3 linked regions of the Lytechinus pictus genome follow. The protein of the gene in region 1 binds, or shares a complex with, the protein of each later gene. Links are inferred from orthologs where the notes say so. Each region holds a gene or a part of one and is shown on either strand. Other genes may lie near its edges.

Region 1 (10,912 bases):
TCGTTAGTTATATCACTTGTGTTTTTTATTTCTTCCTGCAAATTCGGACCAATAGATTTTGCACAGATATACCACATTTCTTGATTACTAGTGCAAATACATGCTGTGGAGAATTGCATTTTTATGGGCACATCGTAGTCTAGAGGTTACGACTCTTGTCTCTCAATCAGAGGGACAAGGGTTCTAATCCCAGAATTGGCATGTTTTCCTTCAGCAAGAAATTTATCCACACTGTGCTGCACTCAACCCAGGTGAGGTGAATACATGTAGGTACCCAGCAGGGTTAATTCTTCCAAAAGGGATGAGCGCTGGAAGACTGCTGTAGCTAAAGCTAGGGGTAATAATAATAATGCACATTGTAAAAGATTATTTTTTTAGATAGCGCAATATAAATGCCTATTATCATTGTTATTATCATTATTTTATTAACATTGTTCATTTCCAAGAACAGAAAAAAATGTACTTACAGAGAAGATCCAGATGGGGTGCTTGGAGGGACATCATCTCCCAGATAACAAGGCCATATGAGAACATGTCTGTCTTATGGGTGATTTCACCACCGATGTGAACTTCCATTGCATTCCAGGGCTGAGAGCCAATGTAGTCATCTGTAGGATTCTGTGAATGTCAAAGCATACCGAGGAAACCAAAAGTTGATTATCATGATTATCAACAATAGAAAAGCAGACCATGGCTTAAGTACTACAACAGCATTTCTATTACCTTGCTCAGTAATACAAGGGGGGCACATGGGGGCAAGAACTCTTCTATTATCATTTTTTTAGGGGTAGTGAAAAAAGGGTAGAAAGGGGGGGAAATGGGGAGAAAAGAGGAAGCAAAGGAAAAAGGAATTAGTTTTAATAAAAGAGGTCTTGAATGAGTTAATCTACATGTATACCCCTGTACTATTGGGGGCTGGCGGAAGGGGGATTCGGTTTAGGTTATCTTTACCATACCCCTCCTCCTTATTACCGAAATACCAGTGCCGCCCATGACTACTAATATTACTACTACTACTTCTAATACAACTACTACTACTACTACCTCTGGCCTATGTTTGGTGAATATTGTAGAAACTGCAGAAAACAACACATACAGCGGATACATACGACTGTATTGAATGCATACCTCCAGGCCGTTCAGGTCATCTCTGAGTTTGAGGGCTACTCCAAAATCACAGAGCTTGACAGTCTCAAAGTCGCCCTTGACGAGGACATTGCCGCTCTTCAGATCACCATGTAGGTACTTGAGGTCATTGTGAAGATAACTGAGGGCTGATGCTAGGGACAGGGCTACTTTGTAGATCTGAACAGCTGGGAATGGACCTGAAAGTGACATTGGCAAGGGCAATGAATGCATTACTGACGACTGCGCGAATCAGTGCTAGATACCTGACTAAAATCAAAGGTGTGGCTTTCTGGCATGAACCCCAGAAGAATATTCTGATCATTAATCCTCACATTTTAGAATAGATAAAACAATTAGGTACTACTACACAGAGTATTTTAATCATCACATTTTCAGCAACATTTTTATTTCAATGTCTAGGGGCACCCCCCCCCCCCCCATCAGAGTCATGTCTCTCTTGTTGTAGGAATTCCACAATTCTTCATGATGATTAATCCTCACATTTCATCATAGAGAATTCAATTAGAACAACACTGCATTTTGTCATTTTAAAAAATATCTTTCAATAATATCTAAGGGGCAACTGTCCACCATCCCATGCAGACCATGCCCCTGGTTCAGTAGCATTAATCCCAGATCTGAATTTTCACTTCCTTTAAAAAAAAAACTGCAAAAGGGATCAATTCTTTATTGGTTAAAGACTTTTACAAAGCCAGGCATGTTTTTAAGTATGATCATGCACAAAATCATGAAAATGACCATAAAAATAGTGATTTTATCAATGTTCAGCCCTTTCCCTCCGCTCCCATTTCTTTCAAATTTGTTGTGTAGTTGCTGCTTCGAGTTACCTTTCCCCATGTCGTTGCGTTTTTCAATCATATCCATCAATGACTGTTGGCCATTCTCCATTGACAGACACAGTGATCCATCCGCAGACTTGCTTAGAGCTCGGAATTCCACAATGCAAGGGTGGTCCATTTTCTGTAACAACATGATATCGCACAATAATAATAATAATGTGACTTATAAAGCGCCAAATCCACTCTGTAGAGTGCTCAAGGCACATAAAGAGCTAAGAGTTAAATAAAAAAGTTTTTAGAAGATTTTTGAAAGTTTCGACAGAGGTACATTTTTTTATGTCTTCACGAAGGCTATTCAACAAAGTGGGGCATGCAAAAGCAAATGATCTTTCCCCCCAGGTTTTTGAAACTTTTGGAATAACAAGGAAGCCAGAAGTGGATGAGCGCAAAGACCTGCTTGGTCTGTAGTAATTGATAAATGTAAATGAAAGCGATGAATGTTAGAAAGAATTTGAAACGTTACAACATCATACAAATTGTATGAACAACTTCAATAAACAAGCTTTTTTGATCATTTAATAATACCACAGTAATGCCAGACCAAGAAATAAGTATTTAATGAATCCACTATCCAGACTAGGCTCCAGGGATTGCAAACTCATATTAAAGAACAATTGGCACCACAGCACGTTATGGTTCTCACAAGACTATACGGTATACCACTAATCAAAGTTGAATTTGGTTCAATACAAGGCTTTCAAAAGAAAAGACAATTGTTGTAGATCAGATGCATGCAAACTTGCCTTGAGGTACCTTACCAAAAGTACAGGTTGGCAAGGATTGGAAATACCAGTAAATACTGCCTCAACATTTTTTTTAGTAGATTGGGAAATAATTGGAAATACAGGGAAATGCTAATTTTAAGCATAGCCTAGCATAGCCTAGCATTTCCCTGTACCTCCCTGTACTCCCCATTTTCTATTTTTTTAAATGTTTTCCAGTATATCCCACCTGGGTGGGAAATACCCAAATTTCTCAGGAAACTGCCAACCCTATGCAGGAACCTTGCAAGCATCTTTTCATGGCTAACAATTTTGTACATTGCTCTCATTTGTAATATACAAAACGATGGGAAAATGCAGAAAAGCTATCTGGGAGTCGCCTAGCACCTTAACAGGAGGATTCCTGCAAACCGATACAGATCTGACTTTTGCTAAAAGTAGGCCTACATTATGGGACAACTCAGTGCAATGCACTTCATGCTTTTCACAATTTGTTTATGAACAAAAGGTAGACAAGTGACATACTACCGTAGTAACTGCAGTCTGTCCATGTATCTACAGCCTACCTTTAGAATGACTGCCTCCTTTTTAAGCCTGCCTTCTACATCTACCAGTCCTCTATCTTTTTTATACTTGCTGCGTACTTTCTTCACTGCCCAGGGTGAACGTCCACTCCCATCAGGCTTTGGGCTCCTGAAACAGAAAGAAAAATTTTGGAAAAAAAACCTGAACTACTTTTAGCATTAGAATACTTGCACCATATGTTGTTAAATGTAAAGTACGGAAGTACAGTGAGTGATTATATTCTGAACTGCTTACTTTTTGGAAGTCTCCATAATTCCTTTTAATAGCAAAGGCAAAACCAGCATATCAGTTAATATCACTATGAACAATTTGCACCAGACAGGTTGGAAGCGATTATGTGGGAATTATAATGCATATTATTACTAGGCCTACACATAACACAGCAAATTCACCTGTTTGCTATCATTTTCTTAGTACTTAAAATTGAAAGTGCTACAGTTAGTAACTTAATCTCATTTTGTATGTTTTGAGACATACAGATCAATGTGAAATAGATCAAACTTTTTTTTTTGCCGAGGAGGAAAAAGCAACACCTTGTTTACATTTTAGATCTACCTCAAACTTATTGGGCAAATATTTTTAAACACGCTTTCATGGATTGAAAAACAGAGGAAGTTCCTGAGCTGATGTATCGTTGAAATTCAGGAAAAAAATGCCTACCGGTACATGTAGGTCGGACTCACGCCAACTTTGTTGTTTTTGAAAAATGTGAAATAGTCCCATAAGTGCTATGTCTGAGCCACGTCCTTGCTAAGTCCATGTTGCGTTGGTGGTGTTCCCACTCATTTACTGAATAATTGTACGCGCAGACGCAGTCCACTCCATGTGGCATCGAAACGTTTCCCCCTATGGCAAGATCTATAATGTCCTCGCAGATTGCAACATGGCATGCCATTGCCATGCCCATGTGCATCTAATACTAGGACCTAGACCTAGGTCGTTGCAGTGATAATGACACTGACAAAAATTCAAAATGACTGTAATTTATTATTTTAATTGAATGATTTGTTTGTTGTTAACTTAACTTAAGTTTAGTTTACTTTAATTTAGTTTAATTTAGTTTACTCAGACGATGTAGGACTCAGACTAAGCCTGTTCATCGATCAAAACAATAGTAGAATTTTTGGCAATATTGCTGCTCTGACGACTTCAGGCAAAATTAGATGCACTAGGCCTACTTGTGTTGGCAGGGACGTGGCAGTAAGTTAGGAGACAGGGGTATCGTAGACAGCAAAAAATTCCCTGAAAAACACACGGAAATAAAAAATCACTCAAATCATCATAGGCAATGTTCTCCCAATGCTTATCAAGCACTGAACAAGCAGAAACTAACGTTAGGTCATCTTCTGGGAAGTTTATCATGTTTCCCCTTGACAGCCGTCTGTTTTGAGGAGTTTTTCAACATTTATAATTTTTTTAAATATTTCTCCTAGTACACAGACGGCTCGCGATTGTGCAGCCGCCATTAGGGGGTTAACAATGCAAAATCCGCCCCCCCCTCCCCCCGATGGGGCTCATCGATTTTGTCTTTATTTCATAAAATATAAAAAAGAACTGAACCAAAATAAAGATTATTAGATCTATACTATTCCGTTTTGGCCTGAACAGGAAAACATAAACTTAAAAGGAAAAAAAAAACAGCGACTTACTTCGGCTGACGTGCAACTCCCACTTCCCTGGTTTTATATCCAAACTGAATACATAAACATATGGCCATTGAGTCCCTGTACAGATCGAGTTAGAACTTTGGTCTCTGTAATTGGTGAGTGGAGTGGAGCCAACGGAGTTCAGCGGAACAACCAATAATACATATTACAGAGACCACGACTGAAGCTTTTGGTCTAGTTTATCCTGGCCTAGACAGCTGGCAGCCGTCTGTTTCGAAGAGTTTTTTTAAACTTTTTTTTTTTCTCCTCGTACGCAATTGGTGGTGGGTGAAGCCAACGGAGATCAGCGAAACAACCAATTATCGAGACCGAAGCTTTTGGTCTAAGTTTATCCCTAACGTTAGATCTATCTACGGCAAGGCACAGGATAAAGCTTCAGTCTCTGTATTTTGGTTGTTCCGCTGAACTGCGTTGGCTCCACTTACCAATAACGGCAATAAGTACCGGGGGTATATCAAAATGTCAGAAATTGTTAAATAAATCCCCAGAAACGACGGTTATTCTGGCACAGGAAGATTAGATTCGCCTTAATCATTAGACTTGACCCTCCGCAGTTTTTTTCAATTAATCAAAAACCAAATAGACCAGTAGAGGCGCTGGTCAGAAAACTGGGATTGTCCCAGTTAACAGGGATTGTCCCAGTTAACAGGGACTATCTCATTCACCTGTCAAGTGCTGACAAATGTACTGTGCTAGAGCCTAGAGTAATGTAAACATACTAATTATCAGGTTTCATAACAAGATTATTGGAACTCGGAAGACTGTCTCCAGTAGAGGCGCACGGCCAATATGGGAGACTCTCTCCAATAGGGGAGACAATCTCCCACATTGGAGACTTGCTTTGCAAAAGGACAAAAGAAACAACACCAACAAAAGCATGATTTTTTCCACCCAAAATTTTGTCTCACTGAGGTCAGAAGCCCATTTGTTTTTTGTGTGATTGACAACAAAAATCCTTATCAAAACAAAAGTAGACCATGAATTTTTAAAGTAGATGGTGAAAAGGGGTAATTTTTCATGAGGAATCAGCTTATTACTTTTTTATTTGCCGCCAAGGTAATCTTTTTGCAGCAAATGTAAACAAAGGAAATTGGTCTCCAAAACTGGAGACTGTCTCTGAAATTGGATACCCAAATTCTTTACAAAAGTCTCTGATATTGGAGATAATCTCCCACATTGGAGACAGTCTCCAATATTGGCCGTGCGCCTCTACTGGTCTCTGTAAGTAACTTATGAGTTATGTAACTTGTAAGTCATGAAAATAGATGGTGAACTGGGGGGAATTGAGGTCACTGAATCTATTTTTAGCACTCTCAATTCCCGTAATTGATGTCTTTGTCCCGTAGGGGGAAGTGAAAAAAAAACGTCCCCATAAAGCCAGGCCATAAAAATTAAAATAAATTTAGGACAGTCTAAATTTATCAAGACATGACTCTTGGACTTGGTTTATGAGAATGTCCTTGTTTTCTGGGACAATCCCAATTTTTGGACCAGCGCCTCTACTTTAGACTAAGTTAGGCCTAAAAATAAACCAACCTTTCCAGCAAATAAACTGACACACCAGTCCCCCAGCCCAGCTTCTTCATAAACGGCGAGGCGGGGATCTGTATCGTGTTAGCGGGAGAGTTCCGGGCGGGAGTGGCCACAGAGAGTCGACTTCTCTTCGCTGGATGAACGGGGGTGAGAAAATCTGAGTTTCCTTTCTTCAGAGAATCGGTGGCGTTGCATGTTTGATCCTTTGTGGACGCCATTGTCCTTCCCTCTCAATTCTGCAGATAACCTTAATTACTTCTTTCAATTCAAATGTGTTTTGAATGAAGAAAAAGCTTTGCCAAAAAGAGAGTCCAACACTTTCAAAAAGGGTCTTTCAAAATTACCGCAAATTCAACTGCACTTGCGCGCGCGCTAGCGCTAGCGCCGTGAGCGACTGAGGGCGTTAATTCAATTTCAGAAAACTGAATGGACAGCAAAGTGAAAGGAGGTCCTTGAAAATATTGACTTTTCCTACATTTATGTGACTTTCTCACCACAGAATGGCAGCTCATCTGAAGAAACGTGCATATGAGGAGTTTAGCCAAATAATTCAGGTATGAAAATTTACCCGCCTTTATCTATAAATATCGAAAAAAGTTTGTGACAACATGGATCTGAATGAACTTGTTTTGTTCGGTCCCACATATTGAGATTATTGTGGGATCTAACTCGACTTGAATTGTATTGCATTGAACTGAATAACTTTATTGTCCATAAAGCCTTTTTAAAGGATTTTTCTCACCGGCTTACACACATGGAGATACAATGTACAAATGAAACTGAAATTGAAAATAATCTAAAGGGGAAGTTCATGTTGACACAATTTTACGTTAATAATAGAAAAATAATTAATAATAATATTCTGGGGAGGAAAATCGGCCTTGTCATGAAATTTGTCACCTCTCTTCTTGTGTGTGTGCGCTCGTTGTGTACATAGTCAATGGGAGTGGAAAGAAGAAGTCACCGCCGTTGACGAAATAAACGGTAGTGAATGGACTGGTGACATAAACCACGATAATCATGATAATGCTGGAAAATCCATCATTCATCAAACATGTCAAAAGATTATCATTAAAAGTAGACAAATTTAATTTTCTGATTTGTGTTGTGCATTGTGTTGTATGCGAGCAGCTTTCCACTAGCCCTTCTTGAATTGAAATTATCAATGAAACATAATTTTCTATTATTAAAGAAAATGATGGCTTTTAACTTAAATAATTAAGTTCAAGTATATCTATATCAACAGACAAATTAATTCACATCGCACCAGCCCCTAAGATAATTTTGAGTCATGAACCTCTACAATCTTGAAATATATGCATAAAAATTTGAAGGGGTCTACATGCATGATAGGGCAGCTGCCTAACCTTGAGGACTCTGTGATGATATTTTAAAATATTTTTACATAGTCATATATCTATATTTTACATTAGCCAGGAGTGAGGAGGCTCCTAGAGAGCACTCATTCAATGAACAAGGTTATGATATAACCTTGTTCTCAGTTATATCTCCATGTGTGGCAAAATAAGGGTGGCAATGTTTGGCTTATTTTCTCTAGTTTAAGGGACAAATGCTTGATTTTTTTACACCGACAGTTTCCATTACACCTATTCGTCATACAACTTGGCCCTTAAGTAAATTTGATTCTTTGAATTATTTTTTTCTTAATTAAAAATAGAGATAAAAAATGAAAATTTTCTTGCCATATTACTTTCCACCAATAGAGGGCGTACACAAAAATATGCCAAAAATTCACGTTTTTGAGCGCTCTAGTGAATACAAAAATTATTCCCAAGTTACTAATGAAAAATAAATTGCAACTGTATGAAAATTAGTAATTTTGGTCACAAAAGTGACATTTTAATGATTTTTGAAAGTGTGTGCTCTGTACAGCATTGGCATGCCATAGTCCTACCTGTAGATTCCCCACAGGCAGGGTGGTTGCAGTGAACAAGTGCTAGAGAGTACAAATAATTCACTAACATGTGCTTACTCTCCACAGAGCCAGGGATTGCGTCCCATTCATGTGCATGTAGTCGTGTACTGCAAAAAAACCTGAAATTTTCGCCCCCAAGATTTCTACTTTTCTTCTAAAAGATCTAGCCCTAAATCATGTAAAAAAAGGGATACATCTTCATTTCCGACATTGATATGACATTGATTTCATTTTTGATCTAGAATTCATTAAAAAAACAGAAAAAATATTATAAAAAGACGGGGAAAACATGCCGCGATGTTTATGTCATTATCTTGTTTCTTTTTGTTCTTTGCCAAGGTACGTGACGCATATCCTCCTGTCTTGGTCGGTTTGAATTCCTTTTTAGATTTGATAAGAACTTACATTTTTCTTCTCATTGTTAAACAGGATGAGCCGAAGGCACCTCCGATTAAGGTGAGACTTGTAGCCCGACCTCAGGTGACCCAGGTCACCCTTGATCTGAGGGCTGGTAATTCCAGAGAGGCCCTTACTCAGCTGCTTGATCTAGAGAACCAGCTACCAGTCGGTCAAGATGCGGCAGGTACGTTAGACGATGGGCGCTGGTGTTGGTGATTTTGAATTGATTTGAGTTGGTTTTTCTTTTCTAATTTGATGTTCATTTTATTTCAATTATTTTGTTTACAGCATTTGGATTTTTGTTTGATTCTGAGTTTGATTTGATTTGATGTAGACTTTCACTGACGGTGACTTTGACTTTGATTTCGATTATGATTTTCAAATTTGAATTTGAATTTGAAATTGAAATTGAACTTAGATTTGAATGTGACTTTGAAGTCAAATCTGAATTTGAATTTGGATTTGATATTGATATTAATTTTGATTTGATCTGATGTATTCAGTTTCCTACATGAATGAAAACATGTATAATTTACATTTTGCAAAGTGTAATAAAAAGAGATACATTCACATGTACATGTACCGGTATGCAGAATTGATAGGAGTAAGTGGAAGCATCTACTATCAAAGAGCTTAGCTTGTGTGATGGAGATAATGACAGTGATAATCACAGGTATAAATTCATAATGATACATGTGCAGAAGAATAAATCAACTTCTTTAAGCATTTTGATATGCCCATGTTCATGCAAGTGTGCTTTCAAATGTAAATTTAATAAAAGTTTTGAGGTATTTTGTGAAGGTATTGAGTATCTACTCGAGCCCGTTTCATAAAACTTGTTACAATAACAAATTTGCAATAACAGTTAAAAGCTAGCGAAATCCTTCCAGTTGATTGGTTGATGGTTAAATTTGTTATAGAAATGTTTGTATTTGTTATTATAACAAGTCTATTTGAAACGGAACCCAGGTCTGGCAAAGTCTGGTCCACAATTTTGGGCCAGCTTCCATAATGAGTGGTTGTATATGTGGTAATGGCAAGTGATGTTCATAGCGTTAATAATGATAATCATAAAAAAATGCATTTCAATAGCACATATTTCATGGCCATGTTCAAAAGTGATTTTTAAGATGAAAATGACAAAATTGTCAAATACCTCAATTTATTTCTTCCACCCAGAGAGTATTATCAACACTCTTTTTGAGCACTACAGCAAAGAGGAAGGAGCTCATGTAAGGTCAAAGGTCATTGAATTATTGGGTCGAATTGCCAGACTCCCGGGTGTGAACGCTGTGGGCATCGCCAATGACCTGATGACGCTCTTAGCCACTGAAGGTGAGATGAAAGCTTTGTTGAAGGAGGGGTATTTAAATTTCCTGGAAGGTCTGGGTCTTCAATCCCATTGCAGCATTTGCATCCTTTTGCATAATATTAGTCTAAATTTGCCACTCTCCACCCAGGTGTTGTAAATGGGTACCCTATTGGAATAATTTCCTTGGAATTCTCAAGTGCCTGATGAGAATACTGTAGCTATGCTTAATGCTAAGCTACTTTTATGGTATGCAGTGCTTAGAAAAATTTGGATTTAAAAAGTACCATGAATTTTGTGTGTTATGTAAAGTATCATCACATTTTAGTCTGACCAATGCTCATTGTGTTGTCAACCAACCATAAGATTTGGGCTGAAAGCCAAAGGTAATTGATTTTTCATGTTCCACATCTGATATTCAAGTGTACAGTACCGAGAATTCAATTTCTGTTTAAAAAAAAAAACGACAACTTGAAGAAAGAGTTTATGCACTCATATTGCATGGTCAGCAAATGTGTGCATGGATGATGAATTTTACAAGTGCTTATTTCAGACTAGACAAGGCCCAAGGATATGGTATTTGATTGTTGTTTCAAGAATTACATGTCCATGTCGATTCCATCCTTGGTTTTGTCATACAGGTTCTCACAAGGTCAAAGGTCAAATATTTACCACACTCACTGTGATTGGACGGAGCCTTCCTCTGACCTCCGATCTCCATCGTCAGCTTCTGCAACTTGCTCAAAAAGTAAGTACATGTACATTGTATACCA
Region 2 (11,061 bases), on another chromosome or scaffold:
CTTGAATGCTTTAGCGCCTATACGGCGGCTCAGCTACAGCTGGGGTATAATATGAAACCAAGTATCAACTGCAGTAGAGTATATGCAATTATAGTAGCTGGGCTATACAAATGGAACATATTATTATTACTGTTATTAGTTATGTGGTTTTACAAGACATAAAGTCTAATTAAATCTTTGTGTGCTGGGCCATGAACCTCTCTGTGTTGAATTATTTTCAGGGAGGGAAACAACGGATTGGTTTTTTTAACGTGAAATGCGAAATTCGTGTGGCACCGAGTGTGCATTGGTGAAATGTACGCGTAGAAAAGGTCAAGTAGTATCTGTGTTAGAAGGAAATACTGGTGGAATATTTTGATTTATAAATTGAGCAGGCATTTTTATGGCAACTTTATACTTACTTGTGAGGTGAAGAAATTGGTTTCTCCTTTTTTCTCAACAGTTATCTTCCTGTAGTCCTCCTATTTAAAAGAATAAATAAAATTTTAAAAGTTAAAACATGACATATCGACACACAGGTACTGACTGCCTTTATGTGAAGAAATTGGTTTCTCCTTTTTTCTCTACGATTATCTTCCTGTAGTCCTCCTATTTAAAAGAATAAATAAAATTTTAAAAGTTAAAACATGACATATCGACACACAGGTACTGACTGCCTTTAGGTTAAAATATAAATGCAAGTAGTCGCTGTAAATGCTGACATCATGAGAAAATTTGTAAAACCAAGAATAATTGTAACTATTGTGGATCTTGATCTGGTACAGTTACACTAATGAAACTTTGAGAAATCATAAAATCTAGGCTGAAAAAAGATCACACAGTAAATAACCAACACAGATAAAGCCATGTGGGACAGTGTATTATTATTGCTTGGAAAAAATACTTGACAGTTTGCGCGTACCCCATGCTTATTTTGCTTATTTCTCAGCAATGACACAGTTTCTTCCAGTGTCCTTTGGTTCATAGCTTACAATTTATCCAAACAGACACTTGGGTGCTCATTTTATTGGATTCTGTACGTACTCATTTTGAAATCATTACCAGAACTGGCATTTATCTTTGATATAACATTCTGTCAACAACATCATCATGCAAGATTAAAAAAATGTGTTTTCAAGAGTCTATAATTACTGTGCCCTTTATTATTGTATCATAATATACAGTTCTTGTATAGCGCATATCACATTATGAATAATGTCTCTATGCGCTTCCTAAGGACTTGGATATTATTACCCCATTTTCTTAGATTCAATGCTTTGTAAAATTTGTTTTTCTGTTGCAAATTTGAAAATGTGTAACTCCTTGAGACATTTTTAATCAAACTTTACTCTTTTTTTTTTATTCTAATACAAAAAATATTGCATTTGAATAAAAATGAATGGAAGAAAAAATAACACTTAACATAAATATTGCCAATTTGAAGATTGAAAAGTGTAATGAATAATGCATTGCCGCAATAGGCATGCACACTTACGAGGAGTATGGGGCAGATAGCCTTGGTGGGCTGTGTCATGTATATGGGTCCATCGTAGCCGACAATCTCAGACATGTGAGGGAGGGCTCCGCAGTGATCAAGATGAAAATGGCTGGGGATGGAAAAAACATGAAAAGCAATTTATTTGGAGAACAATATTTATTATGAAGAAATGTGATACTAAGAGATATATGCATGGCTGCTTGTATTTGTTTGGCATCTCTTGTGCCCGGGAGGTGAAAAGCAAACTGAATCAAAGTGACCCGCAGGTCTCTCCTCTCGATATAACTGGTTGGGGGGAGTGCAGGTGGACCACTACAGGTTTCCCCTTACTCTATACAAAACGTGCAGTGGGGTCTTAACGTGCAAAAGTGGCGACTCTCCTTTACACGGGGCCTCCATTTAACATGCTATCCGAGGGATGGAGTGTTTTCCACTGTAACATAGCCTGCATCTATGGAACAGGGGAGCGATGTTTACACACAACGCAGTCATCCGCACAGGGTAGACTTGAATCCACCACGACCTTTGGTTCGACATTACCAACTGAACCAACTTCACGTTTATATAGTGCATAAAACTTTGCGTTTCTAAGCACTTTACATTGGAATTATTTTCAACGTGGTCATCGGACCCTGGCATGCCTGCAAACAATGTACCGGTAAGCACTTTTCAACTCCCTGAGAGCATTCCAACAAGACAAGAGTTCCAAGACTCAACTGCAAGGCATATTGCATAGGCTTTCACATAAACCTGGGTGGAGTGTGGGAAAGTCTGAATTAACATCTTGCCAAAGGACATTAGGCCATGGTGGGATTCGAACACATGACAATGATTACAAGGTGAGAGTCAGAAAGGTCACACCACAACGCTTCCATGCGACAGTGTAATAATTAAAGTGGCCACCCATTTTTGCCCATGCTGTCTAGTTCTTAGATACACTCCCCCAAAACATGTACTAATCCTTAGAGAAGTGAATAAACACTTAAATATGTTACTCATGAGAAACAAATAAACAGGTATGCAGAAATAAAACAAATAAATTAATAAATCAACTAATAATTGAATAAACCAAAAAAGATCATTTGAAATATTCCAAGAACTATTCAAATACCTAATGATAACTGCATCAAGATGGTCTGTCAATCCACCATTTTTGTTGATGTAGGAGAAGTCTGGAAATCTTCTCTGTTGGGAAAAAAAGGGTAAAAACACACATTCAAAATTAGATATTGTGGCAGGTCATCAGAAGAACAGAGTATTGAGATTTACAACAGAGTAAGTTTGGAAAGAATATGCGGAAATATATGAAAATGGAAATGTTTTGAAGAGGAGGAAGAACAAGAAGGAAAAAGATGGTTAAGAATTTTTTTTTTCAAGAGAGAAAGAGGGAAAGTGGAAATTTATACTAAAAGACAACAATGACCAAAAAGTCCCTTTTTTATAATCAAACATACCCATGTGGAGTAATAAGAACAAATATAAAAGAATAACAGAAATGGAAATATCAAAATCAAGGAAAGAAGCCAACACGAGAACAAGAAAAGAAAATGAGGACAAATAAGAAAAGATACAGGAAAACAGGAGAAGGAATGACATGACTGATAAAAAGAGGTGGAAGAAGAGGAGGGAGAGGGAGGAGGGAAGAGGAAGAAGAGGAAGAAGAAGAAAAAGAGGAGGATGGGGAAAGGAGGTATACTCACTTCATCGTTGAAGCCCATATGCATCCCACAATCCAGCATGATATTCTTACTTCCTATCGTCAGAAGAATACAGCTCCGTCCAACATCCTGACCAGCCCCTTTCAAAATGAATGTCAAATCATACAATCACTTATTCTACTAGCATTGCCAACTCAAACTGGGAATCATGTATTTGTAGTCAACATGTTAAAAGGATATATTCTAAACTCTTTGGAGTCTTGCTTCCATATCTTATTGTTTAAATGATTTTTATAGCAACACAAAACATCATCTGGGTCCCGTCACACAAAAGTCAGTGATCAATCATACGCTTGATTTTTACGACTGACTGGCCATTGTAGTCAATGCAATCAATTGTTAAAAATGTTCTACGACCATTGCTAATACAGCTAAGGCTAAGCTTTGTGTTACAGGCCCCTGGACAAGATTGCAAGTGGGAACAGCTCCAGCAGACTTGACTTGGAAAGCTTAAATGACATTGAGCTGGCCGCCTTGCCTTGTCTTTCCGTTAATGCCCACAATCATTATATTGATTAATATGGCATATGAACGTCAAGATTGACTTGGCCTCAATCAACGGAACACTTTTTGGATTGTATTTGTAATTTGTTCCATCTTTTAAGCAGATTTGCACAGAGGATCGTCAGTTTTAATTGTCACTTTAAGATTAGTTTATAACCAAATTCCCCCCCTAAAAAAAAAAAAAAAAAACAATGCTGATAAAACAAATTTGCAAAAATAATTCCCTGAAAAAAGATGCCTGGCCTGCCTTGGCTTGAAGCCTTGAGGCCATTGAGGGGCCTGAGAGAACTATACTAATAGAACAGTAGAAAAAAATATCCTATAAGTATAAATTCCTATTCCTAATTGAATTCATTTATCAAATTGCGAAAAAACTAAATAATTAATGGCATTAGTGACGCTGATTCATTAGTAGCTACCACCACCAAAGAATCACTAAAATCCTGCAAATCATTGACAGTGTCGTATGATCAACTTGTCAAGCTCAGCTCATACACGCGTGCAGTCTGTCATTGTGAATGACAATGTTGATCTATTATAATTTATAACAAACATGGATGACAATACATGGGACTGTCAACGAAATAATCGGCAAAGTAACACGGTAAAAAACATTACTATCAATCAAATATAAACACATAGGCTCATAATATACAAACCTAAGGGAACTATCCTTATATCTGTCATCTTGAGGTGAAAATAGCATCAATCCGTGGAGAAATGGGTAGTCTAAATCCTTCGAAAATAAAGTTAGCGCTTCATCAGTTCAACTAGTTCATGCCAATGATCAGTGCGTAGTCTACGTCTACGAGCTGCTTGAACAGACTCGAATCAAATACGATTTCATGTCTGATCGAGTCTCATAATTATGCACTCCCTTCTTCTCCAAAACTCTCTTTCTCTATAAAAAGAGGCAACAACAGTACATTGTAAATCTAGTCTCACTACTTCAGACTCTGCTTTATTATGCACTACTCGTAATCGAATAGAGAAATAAAAAAGGTCTGGGCCTAACAACCCGGCCTACCCCCCCCCCCTCCATGCACCCCTCCTCATGTTAGGGAACGGTTTTTTACGGGGGAAAAATGACAAGCAAAAATAAAGATTATCACTCTAAGATCAAAATGTGTGGTTTTTTTTTTTGGGGGGGGGGTCAAGTTTCTACATTTTAGTACACCAATCTGATTTCCAGGGGAATGGCTGATAGCTGCTTCGGCACACCATTTTAGTCACCCCCCCCCCCCCCCGGGCACCCCCGCTTCCAAGGGCCAGGCCCCTCCCCCCCAAAAAAAGTTCAAACTTAGCCGCTATTCTCAAACCGCTTTCCCTTTAAAAATCTGATGATTAAAAAAGCTCATTAGCGTTTCCTGAAGTATATATCGCCTGTTATCAGATTTTCCCAATTTTTTTTTTTTTTTTTTTTTTGGGGGGGGGGGGTAATTTACTTCAAGATTAATCTTAATCTTAATTAATTTTTACATTTCTAAAATGTGTCAATCGTATAGGCCTACCTCACTAATAATAGGCCTACCTGAATCAGCATTCGATATCCCTTATGGCAATGTTTAAGCAGTGCTTAGATTAATCCATAATAAGGCCACCAATTAGGCTATGATCTCGGATGCTCTAATTGGCCTCAATGCTCGTCTCATAGGCCTTAAATATTTTTGTCACCTTTTAAATTTTCCCATTTGTGCTATATATATAGGCTTTATCGGCGAGATAGAAATTATTGCCCATCACCGTATGAAAGGGTGAGGGAGCAACACGCTCTAAAAGGGTCGAAAGGGGACAGCATTTGGTGGAAAGTGCTGTCACTCCTCATCCGGTCATCCATTCCTCCATCCTCAAGTTTGCCTTTTGTGTTTTTAAAGAATGCTGCACTCGACCCAGGTGAGGTGAATGGGTATACCCGGCAGGACTAATTCCTTGAATGCTTGAGCGCTATATAGACAGCTCAGCTAAAGCCGGGGTAATAATAGCAGGGCCCGCTGGGCCCAGTTTTCGGAACTGAAGTGGCTACCCTGGGTAAATAATATACCGCTATTATTGTTGTTATTGTTAAGAAAAGATTGAAAAATCAAGGAATCAAAACATTTCAGCGGCGGTGCAATTATTCAGATAATAATACCTTTAAAAAAATAGTGTTAATCCGACGTCCTAAAAATAATGATTTTTTTTAACAATGTTTCATTATGAAATTAATTGGCACGCCGCTTGTCAAATAGGTGTATCGATATAACAATACAAAATTGATAATAAAAATAACAAAGGAAGATCGACAAATAGCTATAACAAGGTAACCCCCCCCCCCCGTCATATCATTCACGGAACTAAAATCTATGATTAATCACAATAGTTTGAGGGATAACCATAATCGTCTGGTACTGAAATGCTGGGCTATCCTATATTTTTTTCTCAATAAAAACCTGTCCCCCCCAAAAAAAAGATCTGACCCAGCGTCGAGTCTAGCTATTTGTTATAATTGGGGAAAAAGAGGCAGGAACGGATCAATTTTTTCCAAAAGGGGGTATTTTCGTTCAGAAAAATCCAACAAGTAAATACAAAAAATATCTTCATATATTTTTATGGCTCCCCAATCTCAGTGCAACTAAGTTTAGCCTATGGAAAGGTAAATAAAGATTGAGAAAGGTAATAAAGAAAGAAATGAAAAGTAGGCATCAAGGGCAAGTTCCACGGAATGAAATAGGCTAAATAATACATGAAATACGACAAAGCGACTTCTCTTTTTTTTAAACAATGGTACAAAATCCAAAATGTATTGATTATATTATTGAAGAAAGCAAAAATATTGTCTCATTTTACAGGTACACTAGATGCGGATCCAGAGTTGAAATTTTTGGTGTGCTACAGGGTCCAGGATTTTTTCAAAAAGGGGTGCCATATTTTACCCGTTGAAAATTTGACAAGCAAAATACCTAATAAAAAATGTTGTCCCCTAAATTTAAGGTCAATATTATTCGTCCGCCCAAGTATAACTAACAAGCAAAAAAAAAGAAAAAAAAAAAGAAAAGGTTTTGGATATGTAAGGTCAATTTGCCTCTCTCTTTTTCAAATCCTACGGGGGGGGGGGGCTCGTGTGCCTTCAGCCCCCCCCCCCCCGGATCCGTGCCTGTACATGTTGTACAGTATGCACATCATACAATTTTTTTATTTTCTGAGATAGGGATTTATAGAATCACAGAAATACAATACTTCGTTGATTACAAGGCCGGCCCTATAGGGCCTTGGTACACGCCCTCTCTCGATCGAGGAAGACAGAACAAATAAAAAAAAACACGGCCACTAAAGCAGCGGTAAACTTGAAAACCCGCAACAATAGAGAGAAAAATGACCAATATGTTGTCACCATCATCGTCAAATATAAATTCTGAGTTGACCAAGACAGATTCCCAGGTATGTATGCCACTTTCATGCTATGAAATGCTTTTAAAAGGTTGTTTATAATTATGTATGGATGCATGAGAAACAAGTTCGGTCCCATGCGTTGTGAAACGTGTGGCTGGCTGGGTGGCCAGTTTTTTTTTTTTAATGAAATTACCTGCAAGACCTATTTTATTCCTATTTTTAAAAATATCATTAACAGTTCTATAATCAGATAATGCTCAGACTCAAGTCTCAAGACAAATTTGTTAATGATCTTAAATCACGTTTGGTAACAGTTTCCGAGTCCGACTCCAAGTCAAAGAACGCAAAAAAAATAATAATTCGAAGACAGTCGTAAAACTAAAAGTCACTAAAACTTCAAATGCGAGCGATCGTGCGGACAGAGCGCTGAACGTACATTTTCGCATTGCAGTGAATGGGGAGCACATGACTAACACACACGGTTCGCTCCGCTCGGCACTTCGGCTGAGTGCTGGAGTTGCATTTGGAATTGCTCAATAAAACAGTCAGTTTCTTCCTTTACCAGTAGAGGCGCACGGCCAATATGGGAGACTCTCTCCAATAGGGGAGACAATCTCCCACATTGGAGACTTGCTTTGCAAAAGGACAAAAGAAACAACACCAACAAAAGCATGATTTTTTCCACCCAAAATTTTGTCTCGCTGAGGTCAGAAGCCCATTTGTTTTGTGTGTGATTGACAACAAAAATCCTTATCAAAACAAAAGTAGACGGTGAATTTTTAAAGTAGACGGTGAAAAGGGGTAATTTTTCATGAGGAATCTGCTTATCACATTTTTATTTGCCGCCAAGTTAATCCTTTTGCAGCAAATGTAAACAAAGGAAATTGGACTCCAAAACTGGAGACTGTCTCTGAAATTGGATACCCAAATTCTTTACAAAAGTCTCTGATATTGGAGATAATCTCCCACATTGGAGACAGTCTCAAATATTGGCCGTGCGCCTCTACTGTTTACTCTGCTGATTTTGATTGGTCAAAAATTCCCGTGGTTGCTTTGTACACCTTTGGCAAATATCGATAATAAACAACACTGAGTTTCACTTACCATAATGGGATGGAAGGACCTAATATTAAGGTATAAATTTTTCTTTGCTTGAAGTTGAAATCACCCCGTAATCATCGGATCTTATTGAAACTCGGTAGGCCCTAAGTTAATGAAATTGAATATTTGAGAACATTTTGTGAAAGTTGAATTGAATTTGGTTCGTAAAGAGCCAGCGGAAATGAACTTCAATTTTGAGTGTTGTTAGGCGTTTGTGAATCTGACTCGCTGATCGAGAAGGGTTGTTTTGAGCGTATACGAACAGCTGTGAGTGATGCCATCCCCGCTGCGATGGGCTCGAGATTAGTCTCGGTATTCAGACACAGTATGTTTCAGCCGTTGTATAGTTTTTTTAATTACAATTTGAGCTCTGTTAATTATGAAATTTAAATTGTTATTTTGAAAATAATTTTGTAGAATTTGTGCAAAATAAGTATTAAGAGAGGACGGGGGGGGGGGGGGGGGTAATTGTTCAGGGGTAGTTGCCCTTGAACCAAAGAAATCATATGTCAATTATATGCCAAATCAATCTGAGTACTTAAAGATTTAAGGACGTTCCACAGTTAAAGTGAAATCCATGTCATTTTCACCAAACTTTGCACATAGATACTTTAGAACCTTAATATTCGAAATATGCAAAAATTAACATAGGTCCATGTGCTTGATTTTTTGCTATAGAGCTTCAAAGTTCACCCAAATTGATGTTCTTAAGAATTGCGCATTCAAAAGAATTTGGCATTTTTAGACCGCCCAAGATTACTACAATGAGTTTAAACCTCCATTACTCATTCAAAATACATGAAAAAGTCATCAAATTTCGCAAGAGAGTTAATAATTGTATCGTTAGAATGGAAAATCTATTAATAGTGCTATTTGTTTGCAATTTTAAGTTTAACAGCACTGTCAGTTCTTAAAAATGGCGTGAAAGATAACAAAATCCCAATCTGAAAAATGTAAAATTTCAGTAACAAATTACAAATGTACAATAAATGCTGCACTTTATTCAAAATCCATTTTCACCAAAATTTGCAGAGTTGTAGAGGATGGTATACCTAAGAGGTACAAACATTAAAAAATAGGGGTTCATGTGCTTGTTTTTAAACTATCAGCATTTTTATTAGAGCAAATGTGCTTTTTAAAACACCAAAAATGGGCTGAATGCTTAGTATCTATGTGAAGAAAAAATCAAAACCACTCTACCATTTATTCAAACTCGGGCTAATATTCGTGATTCTTGGCAGCACTGCAGAGTAAAGTATTTTGAAATTGTAGAGATTTTTTTTTTGAATGGTCCATGGAATAATTCAATTTTTTAGCTTAATGAAATAACGCATCGGATCTGCAGTTAAAGTGCAGAAGATGAGAAAAATCAGCTCATACCCGCAGCTAATTAATACCTGTTCATCCATTGTGACGTCAGCGCGCAGAGTGTAAACTATGCGCAGATCATAATGCGCACAAATATAACTGTGGAACGTCCTTAAATAAAAAGCTTGTACAATTCCCCATAAGCTACCGTATGTATTATAAGTGTGCCATGCCCAAAACATAGAGAATAATAAGATTTTGCAATCGTCTTTTGTCCACAAAAAGCCTTGTTTTTGTATCACAAAGATGACAATAACTCTACTTCTAGATATCGGAATTTGAATATTCAAACAGTTTTGTGAATCGTAGATATTGAGCCTCATTGTGAGCATATAAGAAATGCTGGAACAGCCTTTCCTGATTTTCACCTGAAGTGCCTATTATAGATCTAGATCTATAGTAACACGCCCGGAATTCGACATGTTGTGCCATTTGACACATGTGGTAAAGTTATTTCACAAGCCAGCATATACACGCACCTAATTCATTGTTGTAACTTGTATACCCAGCCATTATCACTCACCACATGAAGTAATTCCCTTTAAAAAGTCAAATTTTGCCCTTAAAAATGCAGAATATATGCCGTATTTCCAGCGCACGCAGTGGCGTACCTCAGATTTAAGAAGTGGGGTCACCCAAAGATATGCTACATGTAGAAAATAAAGAAAACTGTTTTTGTGCAAATTTCGTGAACTTTCTTGCAAATTTAGGATCGTAGAGATCTTCAAAACGACAAATCTAAATAGAAAAAAAAAACGAAAAACTCTACTGCATTGAATTTGCACAGAAATCAAGTCGACGGCATGCGTTCATTTGACATGGGGTCGGACCTTAATGCAGGAGCGAATGATCGCTGCATTACATGGCGATACATTTCAATATTTTATAAAATATTGAGATATACATGTAAGTTGAAAATAAACATTGCAATTAAAAATACACTTGAAATATATTCTACAAACATTGATGTGAATTTCTTTTGTGAAAACACATTTTAGAAAAAAAATATTGCAGAAAAGCTTAACATTTCGAATATTGTGCAGGTTACTCAACATGAATTTGAATGTGCTTTAAATATGTTTTTACTGTATTGCAACAGGCCCCATCCAATGGTTCTACTAGCTCCTAAGGCATAATGTTAGGTCTAGGCTGAGCTCTCGCCTTCATGGTTTTAATGAGCATGATGTACATGTATCTATTGTATCTGGCTAGACTCTGCTAGGTGTATTTAAAAGTTAATCAAAATAATTACAGTTATGGTCGGACTCTTTAAAAATTAGGTGATAGTTTACTTTATTTTAACTTTATTCCATGTCTACTCTATCTGGTGTCAAAATTTAGGGGTGTCGAGCTAGAAAGCCTTTCTAAAAAAGGTTCAGTAAGATTAGAGCTAACTCATTGGTTGGTGTATATTAAACTAACTTGTTGGTTTTGAGAAACAGGGCCCCTGGCATTAGGTCTAGTATATGATTCAAACATTTTCTATAAGAATTCCTTTTAATTTACCGATATTTTGAGCTAATG
Region 3 (10,649 bases), on another chromosome or scaffold:
CTTGTAAAATTCTTGAAGAAGTTGAACAGCAGTATCAGCATACAGCCCAGGTTTACACTGCAGAAGAATGGGTCGAGAAATCACTTTGTGATTTACTTGTAAGAGTTAAAACTGGTGGTGGTGAAATTTTGTGAAGACAAATTTATCTTTCTTTATTGGTAAGTAGCGACAAAATAGCATAACTTAAAAAAAAACATACAAGAAAGGAAGAAAAAAAAAAATAAATTATTTGGCAAATCAATTAACTAATGTTTATAGATATTAGTCTCATAAAAATAATGGGTTTTGATGAAACAAGTTCCTCTTGTTTTCTTAACTTTTTTTTGTTTTTTTACTTTTCAATACTCTCATCCTGTATACACCTTTCCCTTCAGTCAATCAACAAACCCTGAAGATCAATTTAAGTAACTCCTAAAAACATTACCTTTTTTTATTTCCATGAACATGTATTTGTATTTTATTAGGTACTTGCATTCTTATAGCTTTGAAAAGCTGTGAGAGTGAACTACGTAGAGTGTACTGAATACTAGTTGTAATAAATATAATTTGTAACACAGTAAGCATTCCTGTCCTCTACAGAGATATGAATGATATGTACACATAACTCCAGTAGAACAACCATATCTCAGACATTTTTAAATGTAAATTCTAGCTTGACAATGATCTAAAAATGAGTATGAACAGAATCCAATAAAATGACCATGAAAGTGTTTGCATGTACAATAATAAATATGAGGTGCCAAATAATTATGAAAATGCATAAATGCTGAGAAAATGATAAAATAAGCACAGCATACCTGCTAGGTGACAGATTTTTTTTTACCAAACAATATGTTAGAACATGTGCTTTTAATATATATCCATCTTAATGATTTTCATTTTCACCAAAATTTATTTAAGACCCATCTAGTTATGGAATATGTATGCTTTTAAATGAGCTTTACTTACCTCAAAAGTTTCTCCTGTAGATGGTAGCTGATCTGAATGTACAGAGAAGATGGAACCACAACCGCCAAACCTTTCATTAGCACAACCATACACAACCTTTCTAATACCTGTATAAAAGATTAAAAACAAATTTTTTTTCTATCAAGTGACTGCTGTATTATTCTATTCAAATACAATGTAAGACAATAAGTAATAATGAAAGAGCCTTGAGCGTAAAGATATAGTTTAATACTCTGGCATACCTGCCAATATTTAGAATGTTGATCTTATTGAATGAGGGAAATTATCATAAACAAGCAGTGTTGTGGGTCTCGAGGCCGGAAAATCGTTTTTGTGGGTGTGTGTCTATGGACTGTATGAGTGTACTGTATATGTATATGCAATGTATAGGCTACCGGTATATATATGAGTATCAATGTATGTTTTTTATGGAGGTGTGGAAATCACAATACATAACCAAAGTAAAAAGCATCACTGGGCTAAGAAATGACAGGTATTTAGGGTCCCTATGAAATCTGTGGCCGTTGCCACAAAATAATATAACAATATTTGGCCATGGCTGGCCTTTTCCTGGCTCTCCGGCCTTGGCCTGCCTTGTATGGGAATATTCGGCCTTGACCCTTCTGGCCTTGGCCTTGTCCTCAGGTGGGTCAGCCTTAGCCTTGTCCTCGGGCAATCTGGCCTTGGCCTCGGACAAGCCGGCCTCGTACTCTAGCAAGTTAATGTAAAGTGAGTGTTAATTGTTGAATGTGTGTGCTTGTGGGTGTTTAGGATTTCACAGACAATAGGCATGCTCTAAGAAATTGGAGGATCTTGGGTTCAAATCCCTGCCATAGCGTTAATTTCCTTAGCAAAAAAGTCATCTACATCATGCTGCTTTCATGCTAGGTGAAGTAAATGTGTAGCCGCAGGAAAGAATTCCTCAGAAAAAGCTGTGAAGACCAAAATCAGTAGCCTAGAATAGCAGGGTTAACAGTGCTTTAAGCATGTGCACAATATAAATACCCTAAATTTAAAAAATGAAAAACACCTTGGCAGAACAAGCTTCACATTCTGATGGCAAATGCAGAAAGTGGCAAGATCCAAGAGTACAACTACCATATCAATGTCTACTACCGAATCCCCATTATTAGACAACAGTTTCATACAAAAGGCTAGCTGATCAAATTCAACAACGAGATTATAAGAACAAATACTGCAGTCAAGATTTGTCAACCCAACCCAAGAGTATGAAGCCTTTTCTATGAGAATGAAACTCACCCATGATACGCAGAGCCCCAGCACACATGATACAGGGTTCTACTGTCACAAATAGTTTGGTATGTGAGAAGACCTCTTCTCTCTTCATCTGTTTGTCTTCACACCATCTCATTGCTTCTTCTAAAGCTAAGATTTCGGCATGTCTTGTGGCCTACAGTGCAGTAGAATGAACGTTATTGAAATGAGAGGTGTAAGTAACATACAATCTACAAAAGCAAAAATTTAACTAAAATGACCATTAAGACAGATTTACTTGTTCTGTTTTTCAAAAATTCTGCAATAACTTGAAAATTCATAATCAATACGCCTGTATACAGAGCATTTTTTCAAATTTGGGGGAAACCCTGTAAAGCTGTTGTACTTTCTTTTTCAAAACATGGATAAACTGACCTATGATAAGTATTTTCCTTTTTCAATACAAAGTTATAATCTACAAGAGCAATTCAATCCAAAATTCATTGATTATCGGTATATGAATCAATATTAAAGCAATCTAATATTACATGTATGTTGAGTAAAATGAATTGAATAAAGATGTACAGAAAGGTTTGATACAAATCTCAATAAAGTACAAGGCATTGATTTTATTTTATCTTTTTAAATTGCTCAAAATTAGACACATCTTGTTCCACAGTAGAGTATTTGAAAGGTTTGTGAATCTCATGATCTTGGTTTGTAAGTGCTGCATACTATTACCCCGGCTTTAGCATGGCTACCCTGCGGATCGGACGCTCAAGCATTCACAGAATTCCTTCCTGCTGGGTACCTATTTACTACTCCTGGGTGGAGATTGGCAAATGTAGATAAATGCCTTGCCAAAGGACGCGAGTGCTGCGGTGGGATTCGAACCCCAGACTTTGTGGTTCAAAGTCGGGAGACTTATCCAAACTGAGTCACATTATCTCTGAGACCTGATATGAGACCTGGAGTGTATCAATCATGGGAATTCTTATCTGAGTTTCAGCAGGGACGCCCTGGTTTCAGCTACAATGATGGACTTTTCATGTCAATATATGGATAGGATGTGGTAGTACTGCTTACTAATAAATTAAGATTCAAACTTTGCACCCTGAGGTGCAGACTGCAAGAGGTGCAAAATGACATCAATAATATAGTGCTCTGATCCCTTAGTACAAAGTTTTATCTTTTCTGCAGCTTCAAAGTGTGTAATAAGCAGTATAACTTACATTTTTGGTTTGGTTGACAGCATTTCCTCCTGTCCCTATGATCTGATCATTATACACAAGGAGACAACCTACTGGGACCTCTCCTCTACTTAGGGCCTGCTTACCCTGCACAAAAGAAAACATATCTTAATTTCTCATAGGGAACTGACCATTGTTCACTACAAAACATTTTGCTACATCTATTACAAGCAATCTAAAGAGTAGACATGGTAGTTAGGGTTTCTGAGTGTTATTAACATCACTAACAGAACTTTTTAAAAATATGTAACCATTCATTTTCAGTCCCATAGTAATTGGATACAAACCATGCACACTGCTTGCTTCATCCATTTTTCATCATAAGCTTCGTCATACAGTTCCATGGTCTGTAATAAAAAAAGATGATAATTTAAATTGTTTCTTTTCATCTACAAGTTAAATATCAATATTATTTTACTAATATTATTGAACTTTGAAGCTCAGTAGAGGCATACGGCCAATGTTGGAGACTCTCTCCCATTCTGGAGATTATATCCTGTACATCAGTATTCAATTTAAAGGGATGGTCCGGGCTGAAAATATTTATATATCTAAATAAAAAGAGTAAAATTCACAGAGCAAAATGCTGAAAATAAGATTAAAATTGGAAAACAAATAATGAAGTTATTGAATTTTAAAGTTTATCCATATTTTGTGAAAACAGTTATACGCACATCGTCATGAATATTCATTTGGTGGGCTGATTATGTCACATCCCCACTTTCCTTTTTCTTATGTTATTACATGAAATCATAAATGTTTCATTTTTTCATACATGTGTAAATGATATTTCTGCATTATGAAATAAGTTGCGGCAATAAATAACTAATGCACTTAATCAGTTGTCAATTCAATTGTTTTAGTTTTTGGTAGAAAAAATTTGAATAAACCAAATTTCATATATAATAAAATACAAACGAACAAGTGGGGATATGACATCATCAGCCCACCTAATGAATATTCATAAAGACATGCCTATAACTGTTTCACCGGAATAATGCAAATCTTTAAAATTCAATAGTTTTGTTATTTGTTATCCGATTTTGATAAAATTGTCAGCATTTTGCTCTGTGAATATTACTCTACTTTATCGAGATATATTTCCAGCCAGGACCATCCCTTTAAGAGCCAGTCTCCACTATGCAAGATTTTTTCTGTTTAACATTTGCGTCAGAGGGATTACCATGGTGGCAAAATTACTCCTCTTAACCATATATGCTCAAGAATTCTCCATCTACTTTTGTTTTCATTTATATTTTGTTATCATGTGGTTTTGACCTAGCTGCAAATTTTGGAGGGGAATTAACTTTCTAGTTCAGTGTTGTTGCCTATCTCTTTTGCAAAGCATGTCTCCAATATCAGAGATTGTCTCCAAAATTGGAGAAAGACTCAAATATCAGCCATGCGCCTCTACTGCTCATATTTCTTCAAAAGGTTAACCAGACACAGTTCGAATCATTTGCAAGAGGAAATCTTAAAATAAATGTTAAGGACTTTGAGTTTGATGTCTCTTTCTGTATCCAGTGTAGATCTAGGCCTAATGTTAGACATGCTAGATGCCTGGCTAGTGTCTAGACTTAGACCAAAAGCTTCGGTCTCTGTTAATGTTATGTTGGTTGTTCCGCTGAACTCGTTGGCTCCACTCACCAAATACAGAGACCGAAGTTCTAGCTCAATCTGTACAGGGACTCGATGGCCATATGTTTATGTATTAAGTTCGGATAAAACTGGGAAATGAAGTTGCGCGACAGCCAAAGTAAGTCACTGTGTTTCCCCCTTTGAAGTTTTTTCCCCATTTTGGTGCATTTCAGGCCAAAACAGAATAATATAATAATCTTTATTTTGGTACAGTTCTTTTTATATATTTTTATGAAATAAAGACAAAAATCGATGAGCCCCGTCGGGGGGATTTTGCATTGTTAACCCCTAGGGCCTATGCGTGGCTGCACGATAGCGAGCCTAGCCTGGACTCTGGTCCTGGAGGCTAGTTTTCTGGGGAGTAAAAGTCATCTACTATACGGAAGTCGTAGGCTTACTCCAGCCTACGTATAGTAGATGACTTTTACTCCCCAGAAGCCTCCACTCCAGTCCAGGCTAAGCGAGCCGTCTGTGTACGAGGAGACATTAAAAAAAAAATGTTAAAAAACTCCTCGAAACAGATGCCTGCCAGCTCAGCAGCTGTCTAGTCTAGACTATACTAGACACTAGTGGCAAGGCATGGATGCTGATCGAGAGATTGAGCTGAGCCTGACTGAGATTTCACAATTAGTGAAACCTCGGCTCAATCTCTCGATCATCCTTGCCTTGCCACTTACCTTAATCCAAAATTAAAAGTTTACCCTCCTCGCACCTATCAAGTATCATGCCTATCTGTCACTCTTGAGTCTTGGCGTCTTGCTGCTGACGTAACGACCCACTGCCTCAGATCAGGCTCAGATACCGGTAAATCTGATTAAAAATACTCGTTAAGAGAATCTCCAACTGGTACATGTAATGTACCGTAGTCAATAACCAACCCGCGGACAACCGCTGATAAGTACATGACATGAGGTGCATATGGCGTCTGGTTGACCGGCCGCGGCAACAGTACCTGGTACAGGCGCAGGCGCGGTTTAAGTACGGTACCGGTACCTGTACCTAGCGTTACCCGGGCCGGGGGCGCGGGCGAGGGATCCCCCGCAACCACACTCGTCTCGCGATCGATCGCGCCCGTCCTTAATTTCTTCCGTATTTTATTATCGCGAGGATACCGTACCATACCATCTGAACGGTATACCCATCTGAACTGAGCTGAGGCGAGCAAAAGAAAACACTGCAAGAATATCCTGCATTTTATATAAGAAGCCGGAATAGCCAGAATGAAATTGGTAAGAAAACCTATCCGACCTCCTGCCGTTATGTTATTGTTGAAGTGTGTGTTTGTGTGTCTATTAGTTACAGCCAATTAATGATCAGTCAGCTATCAATCATTCACACAAACAACAACATGAATGCTAGCATGTGGGGCTATGTTAATCCAGCAGATTCAAAGGTTCAGTGGATGATCCTGATAATTCATCATCATCATCATCATGTTACGAGGTGAGGTAATCCTGTTGACCTCGATCTCTTCATCTGAAAATTGCAGTCCATCTCCATACGATGTGTTATTACGTCATAAGTCATAAGAACAAAAACTTGCACACGTGTAGGGTAGAGACGGTTTTGATCATTTGGACTTGGAGATTGAAACGCTCAGACCACCAAAACTTATCGAGTCTTAATTTGAATACATCGATGGAGCCTGAGTCAAATAACTTCTTGGGGGAGGCTATTCCAGTCATTCACTACCCGGTTACTAGTAAAAACGCATTTGCGTATGTCGAGTCTTGATCGTTCTTTAAATATCTTTAACGTATGACCTCGAAGATGTGAATTATAGGGACAGTGATTTTCCGTTTCAAAAAATTGCCTTTTCCGTTTCAGAAAATCTCAAATTCCGTTTCAGCATGTCAGAAAACGTAAATTCTGTTTCCCCATAGACTTTGTACACACGGAAAAGTGACAATTCCGTTTACACATTGAATAGCAAAATCACAACACGTACACTCGCACTGGTCAAAATTTGTATCTGCTACTAGCCTGTACCAACAACACAATAGAATCTGTTCTAATCGGATCTATGCGGGTGCATAAAATATTTTTACAAACCCATTTAGCATGCATACATCCTCACCTTTCACATCATTAGCATTATTTCACGATGAAATGATATTTCATCGATAATTTTGGGGTTTTTTGGACATCGTTATCATCAGTAAACGGCTTTTGCCAATCCGCCATCTTGGATTTTAAGACCACGATATCGTGCTGTTACATCTTCTAAGGTAGAGGGCAGCAACACACAACCGTGTAGTTGAACGATATGTGTGCATGTGAAGCCCAACCCGGCCGGCCGGGCGCCGGGTACGGCTACGGTGCGGGGTACAATCGAGTGTGGTGATGTCGAGTGCAGTCACGACGTGTGAATTGTCATGATAGTAGCGAAGTGAGATCGTGTTTTCTGGGGTTTTGTGGCCATTTAATATTCTCATTTTGTTGTGATTTCGGAGTAATTTCTGTTGCTATTCTGTGTATTTTTAGGGAAAATACGTTTTCCGTGATTTTCCGTTTGAAATGCCACTTTCCGTTTCAAAAGGCCCTTTCCGTGAATTCCGTCCGTTTTCCGCGATCGCGGAAAATCACTGTCCCTAGAATTAGTTGATGGCAAGAAAAAGTGACTTGAGTCCATCTTGACCATTCCTTTCAGTATTTTAAATACCATAATGGCATCGCCTCTCCTTCTTCTATAATACAGGGAGTGTAAGTCCAATACTTTTAATCTATCTGAGTAGGGGAGTTCTTTTATCTCCTGCACCATCTTAGTTGCTCTTCTCTGGACTTTCTCAATTTTATCCGCATCTTCTTTCCATTGAGTGTTCCACAAGATGTTGCCATACTCTAGGTGTGGTCTTACCAATGTCTTAAACAAAATTGGTAGGGTCCTTGTGTCCAGTTGAGTGAAAGTCCGTCTGATGATACCAAGGAGCTGATAGGCTTTGCTTACTTCCATTGATATATGCTCATGAAATTTGAGTTCCGAGTCAATCAATACTCCCAGGTCCTTTTCTCTGGTAGATGAGGCAACTTCATCTCCATTCATGTGATATTTATCTTTCTTGTTATTTCTCCCAAAGTGAAGAACTGTACACTTATTCTGGTTGAAAGGAAGTTGCCATTTTTCAGCCCACATGGTAAGTTTGGACAGGTCTGCCTGTAAGGCCTTGGATTCTTCATCATTCCCTACTGCTCTGTACATCTTAGTATCATCCGCAAAGAGTAAGATCCTGGAGTTTATGTCACTAGGCAAATCATTAATAAAAATGACAAATAGGATTGGCCCGAGGATACTCCCTTGCGGTATACCACTCTTAACATCTGTCCAAGATGATGTCACTCCATTTATAGCCACTCTTTGCTTTCTGCCTTTCAGGAAGGCACTAATCCAGGCAAGAAGAGGGTTCTCAATTCCATAAGCTTTCAGCTTCAATAAAAGTCTTTCATGAGGTACTGCATCAAAAGCCTTCTTAAAGTCTAGATATAAAACATCAATAGGTTGGCTATCGTCTAATATCCTAGTCCATTCTTCAATGACTTTGTTGAGTTGTGTAGGTAAATTGTTCACTGCTTGTATTAACTCTAGGCTTTCCAATTATTTGGAATGTGCAGGAATTTTAGGCAATGAGCAGGCAGGGTTTAGAGAAAGTCATAGTACCCTTGATCACATATTTACATTACATGGTTTGATCGATTTGTATCTACACGATGCGAAGAGAATTTACTGTGCCTTTATTGACTACAGAAAAGCCTTTGACCTTGTTGACAGATCTAGTCTCTGGTCGAAGTTGATTTCATGTGGTATCAATGGGAAGATTATTAGTGTTGTTTATAATATGTATGAAAATGCTAAATCATGCATAAAGTATGGATATAACATTTCTGATTTCTTTACCTGTAATATCGGAGTGCGTCAGGGTGAAAATTTATCTCCTTTGCTCTTTGCAGTTTTTCTTAATGATTTTGAATATTTTGTTAGTCGGTATTATAAAGGCTTAAATATGTGCTCTTCTCTAATAAGGGACTACCTGAGCAATGATGATGTGGAAGTTTTCTTACGACTATATGTTTTATTATATGCTGACGATACAATAATATTGGCTGAGTCGGCTCAAGAACTTCAGTCTGCTCTGTCGGCTGTTCATCAATATTGTGAGCAGTGGAAACTTTCTGTTAATACAAGCAAGACTAAAGTTGTGATTTTCTCACGTGGAAAGGTTCGTAAATATCCAGAGTTTTTGTTTGGGGATACTGCTCTTGACGTCGTAGAGGATTATATTTATTTAGGTACCACTTTTAATTACAATGGCTCCTTCAAGAAAGCTATGAAAAAGCAAGTTAATCAGGCTAGGAGAGCAATGTTTAATCTTAAAAGTAAGGCCAATGTGTTGAGTTTGCCTTTGGACATTCAATGTGAATTGTTTGATCAGCTGGTGGTACCAATTTTGTTATATGGTAGTGAAATTTGGGGGTTTGGTGATGTAGATTGTATTGAAATGTTTCATAAGAAGTTTATAAAAAGCCTCCTTGGACTTAGTCGAGGGTCTGCGAATTGTATGGCATATGGCGAATTGGGAAGAGTCAGTCTGCTTTATATTATTGAAAAGCGTATGATAAATTTTTGGGCAAGGATTCGTCAAAGTGTAAATGGAAAATCTAAATTGTCAAGTATGATTTATAGGCTTTTGCGTCAACTTCATGATAGGGACCTTTATAAGTCACCATGGATAGTAAAAGTGAAAAACATTTTGGATAGATGTGGGATGTCTAACCTGTGGAGTGTTGAGAATATAGTCTTGGACGTTAAGTGGGTTAAGTCAACTGTGAGTCTCAGATTGGATGATATTGCTAAACAGGAATTGAATACTGAAATTAATAGAAACCGTTTGTGCATGAATTATAGGATATTCAAACAAGATTTTGGGTTTGAGAACTATTTAGTGAAATTAGATTTTGCAGATAGGATTGAACTCTGTAAATATCGTTGTGGAAATCATAGATTGCCAATTGCTAATGGTCGTTACCTGCCTAATCAAGGTTTGCAAACTTGTACTCTATGTGACTCGCATGAGCCAGGAGACGAGATTCATTATGTGTTTAATTGTCCTGCTTTTGAAAGTGAAAGGAAAGCTTTAATTAGAGGGTATTATTTTGTCAGACCAAACGTGATTAAAATGCACAAGTTGTTTAATATGCGAAATACAAAAGACTTGAAAAATCTGTCAAGATTTTGTAAATTCATTATGTCAAAATTTTAATATCTTAAGTGTAGTTGCTGTCTTGGTTACTTTCTTGTATTAGGGCATGATTTCAGATTTTGTTGGATTGCACCTGCACATGCTAAGTGGGGTACCGGTCTCCAGATACTCTCTGGCATGTCGGGAGTGGGTGGGTTAATTTGTGCCCGTTTCTATTTCTATTACTGCTCTTGTATTGTACATATGTTTATTATCATCATGTTTGATTCTTGTTACCTTGGTATTTTTTTCTTATGCCTATTATTGCCATTGTTGTAAGTTGTTATATTTCTTCTATGCCCCCAGGAGGGGCCGTCAAAGAAATAAAATCATTGTCATTGTCAGCCGGGCAAGGCAGGCGGCA

Evidence for each region.
Region 2: the proteins of integrator complex subunit 4-like (region 1) and integrator complex subunit 11-like are in contact, whole or in part, in a cryo-EM structure (PDB 7SN8), measured with the Drosophila melanogaster proteins. The link is inferred for Lytechinus pictus from reciprocal best matches to the Drosophila melanogaster genes IntS4 and IntS11. Residues at the interface, in NP_572488.1 of Drosophila melanogaster: Arg226, Ser227, Gly228, Gln233, Lys256, Phe259, Tyr260, Asp262, Ser263, Gln264, Lys299, Asp300, Asp301, Cys349, Leu351, Lys380, Lys381, Ile437, Glu441, Glu443, Phe444, Leu445, Glu446, Arg448, Asp471, Phe472, Asp475, Asn478, Glu480, Ile481; in NP_651721.1 of Drosophila melanogaster: Thr182, Pro183, Arg185, Gly188, Ala189, Trp191, Ile192, Asp193, Lys194, Arg196, Ile210, Arg211, Asp212, Ser213, Lys214, Arg215, Arg258, Asn287, Gln288, Lys289, Lys292, Thr293, Met299, Gln400, Asn404, Asn469, Ala470, Pro472, Pro473, Pro475.
Region 3: the proteins of integrator complex subunit 4-like (region 1) and integrator complex subunit 9-like are in contact, whole or in part, in a cryo-EM structure (PDB 7SN8), measured with the Drosophila melanogaster proteins. The link is inferred for Lytechinus pictus from reciprocal best matches to the Drosophila melanogaster genes IntS4 and IntS9. Residues at the interface, in NP_572488.1 of Drosophila melanogaster: Arg105, Leu108, Val112, Thr115, Asp116, Asp147, Thr148, Ser149, Lys153, Glu156, Gln193, Met196, Arg200, His231, Lys234, Gln264, Asp265, Ser266, Arg269, Tyr302; in NP_648838.3 of Drosophila melanogaster: Arg2, Arg23, Met88, Lys90, Met91, Asp93, Glu96, Asp98, Arg173, Lys176, Asp203, Leu205, Gly206, Gly500, Glu501, Ile502, Arg504, Val544, Lys545, Asp546.

Annotation. Positions count from the first base shown.
Region 1 is NC_087260.1:14,205,525-14,216,436, reverse strand, and holds the start of integrator complex subunit 4-like, read left to right. Parts: upstream 1-6,881; 5' UTR 6,882-6,995; coding exon 6,996-7,049; intron 7,050-8,860; coding exon 8,861-9,014; intron 9,015-10,009; coding exon 10,010-10,165; intron 10,166-10,780; coding exon 10,781-10,887; intron 10,888-10,912. UniProt on the Drosophila melanogaster protein: Component of the integrator complex, a multiprotein complex that terminates RNA polymerase II (Pol II) transcription in the promoter-proximal region of genes.
Region 2 is NC_087250.1:18,422,314-18,433,374, reverse strand, and holds the start of integrator complex subunit 11-like, read right to left. Parts: upstream 4,507-11,061; 5' UTR 4,387-4,506; coding exon 4,359-4,386; intron 3,276-4,358; coding exon 3,178-3,275; intron 2,663-3,177; coding exon 2,589-2,662; intron 1,587-2,588; coding exon 1,475-1,586; intron 462-1,474; coding exon 402-461; intron 1-401. Other genes in the region: serine/threonine-protein kinase greatwall-like, read left to right, coding at 7,051-7,116. UniProt on the Drosophila melanogaster protein: RNA endonuclease component of the integrator complex, a multiprotein complex that terminates RNA polymerase II (Pol II) transcription in the promoter-proximal region of genes.
Region 3 is NC_087245.1:1,539,367-1,550,015, forward strand, and holds the start of integrator complex subunit 9-like, read left to right. Parts: upstream 1-5,791; 5' UTR 5,792-6,271; coding exon 6,272-6,280; intron 6,281-10,649. Other genes in the region: tRNA-specific adenosine deaminase 2-like, read right to left, coding at 1-57, 949-1,055, 2,209-2,359, 3,396-3,500, 3,701-3,757. UniProt on the Drosophila melanogaster protein: Component of the integrator complex, a multiprotein complex that terminates RNA polymerase II (Pol II) transcription in the promoter-proximal region of genes.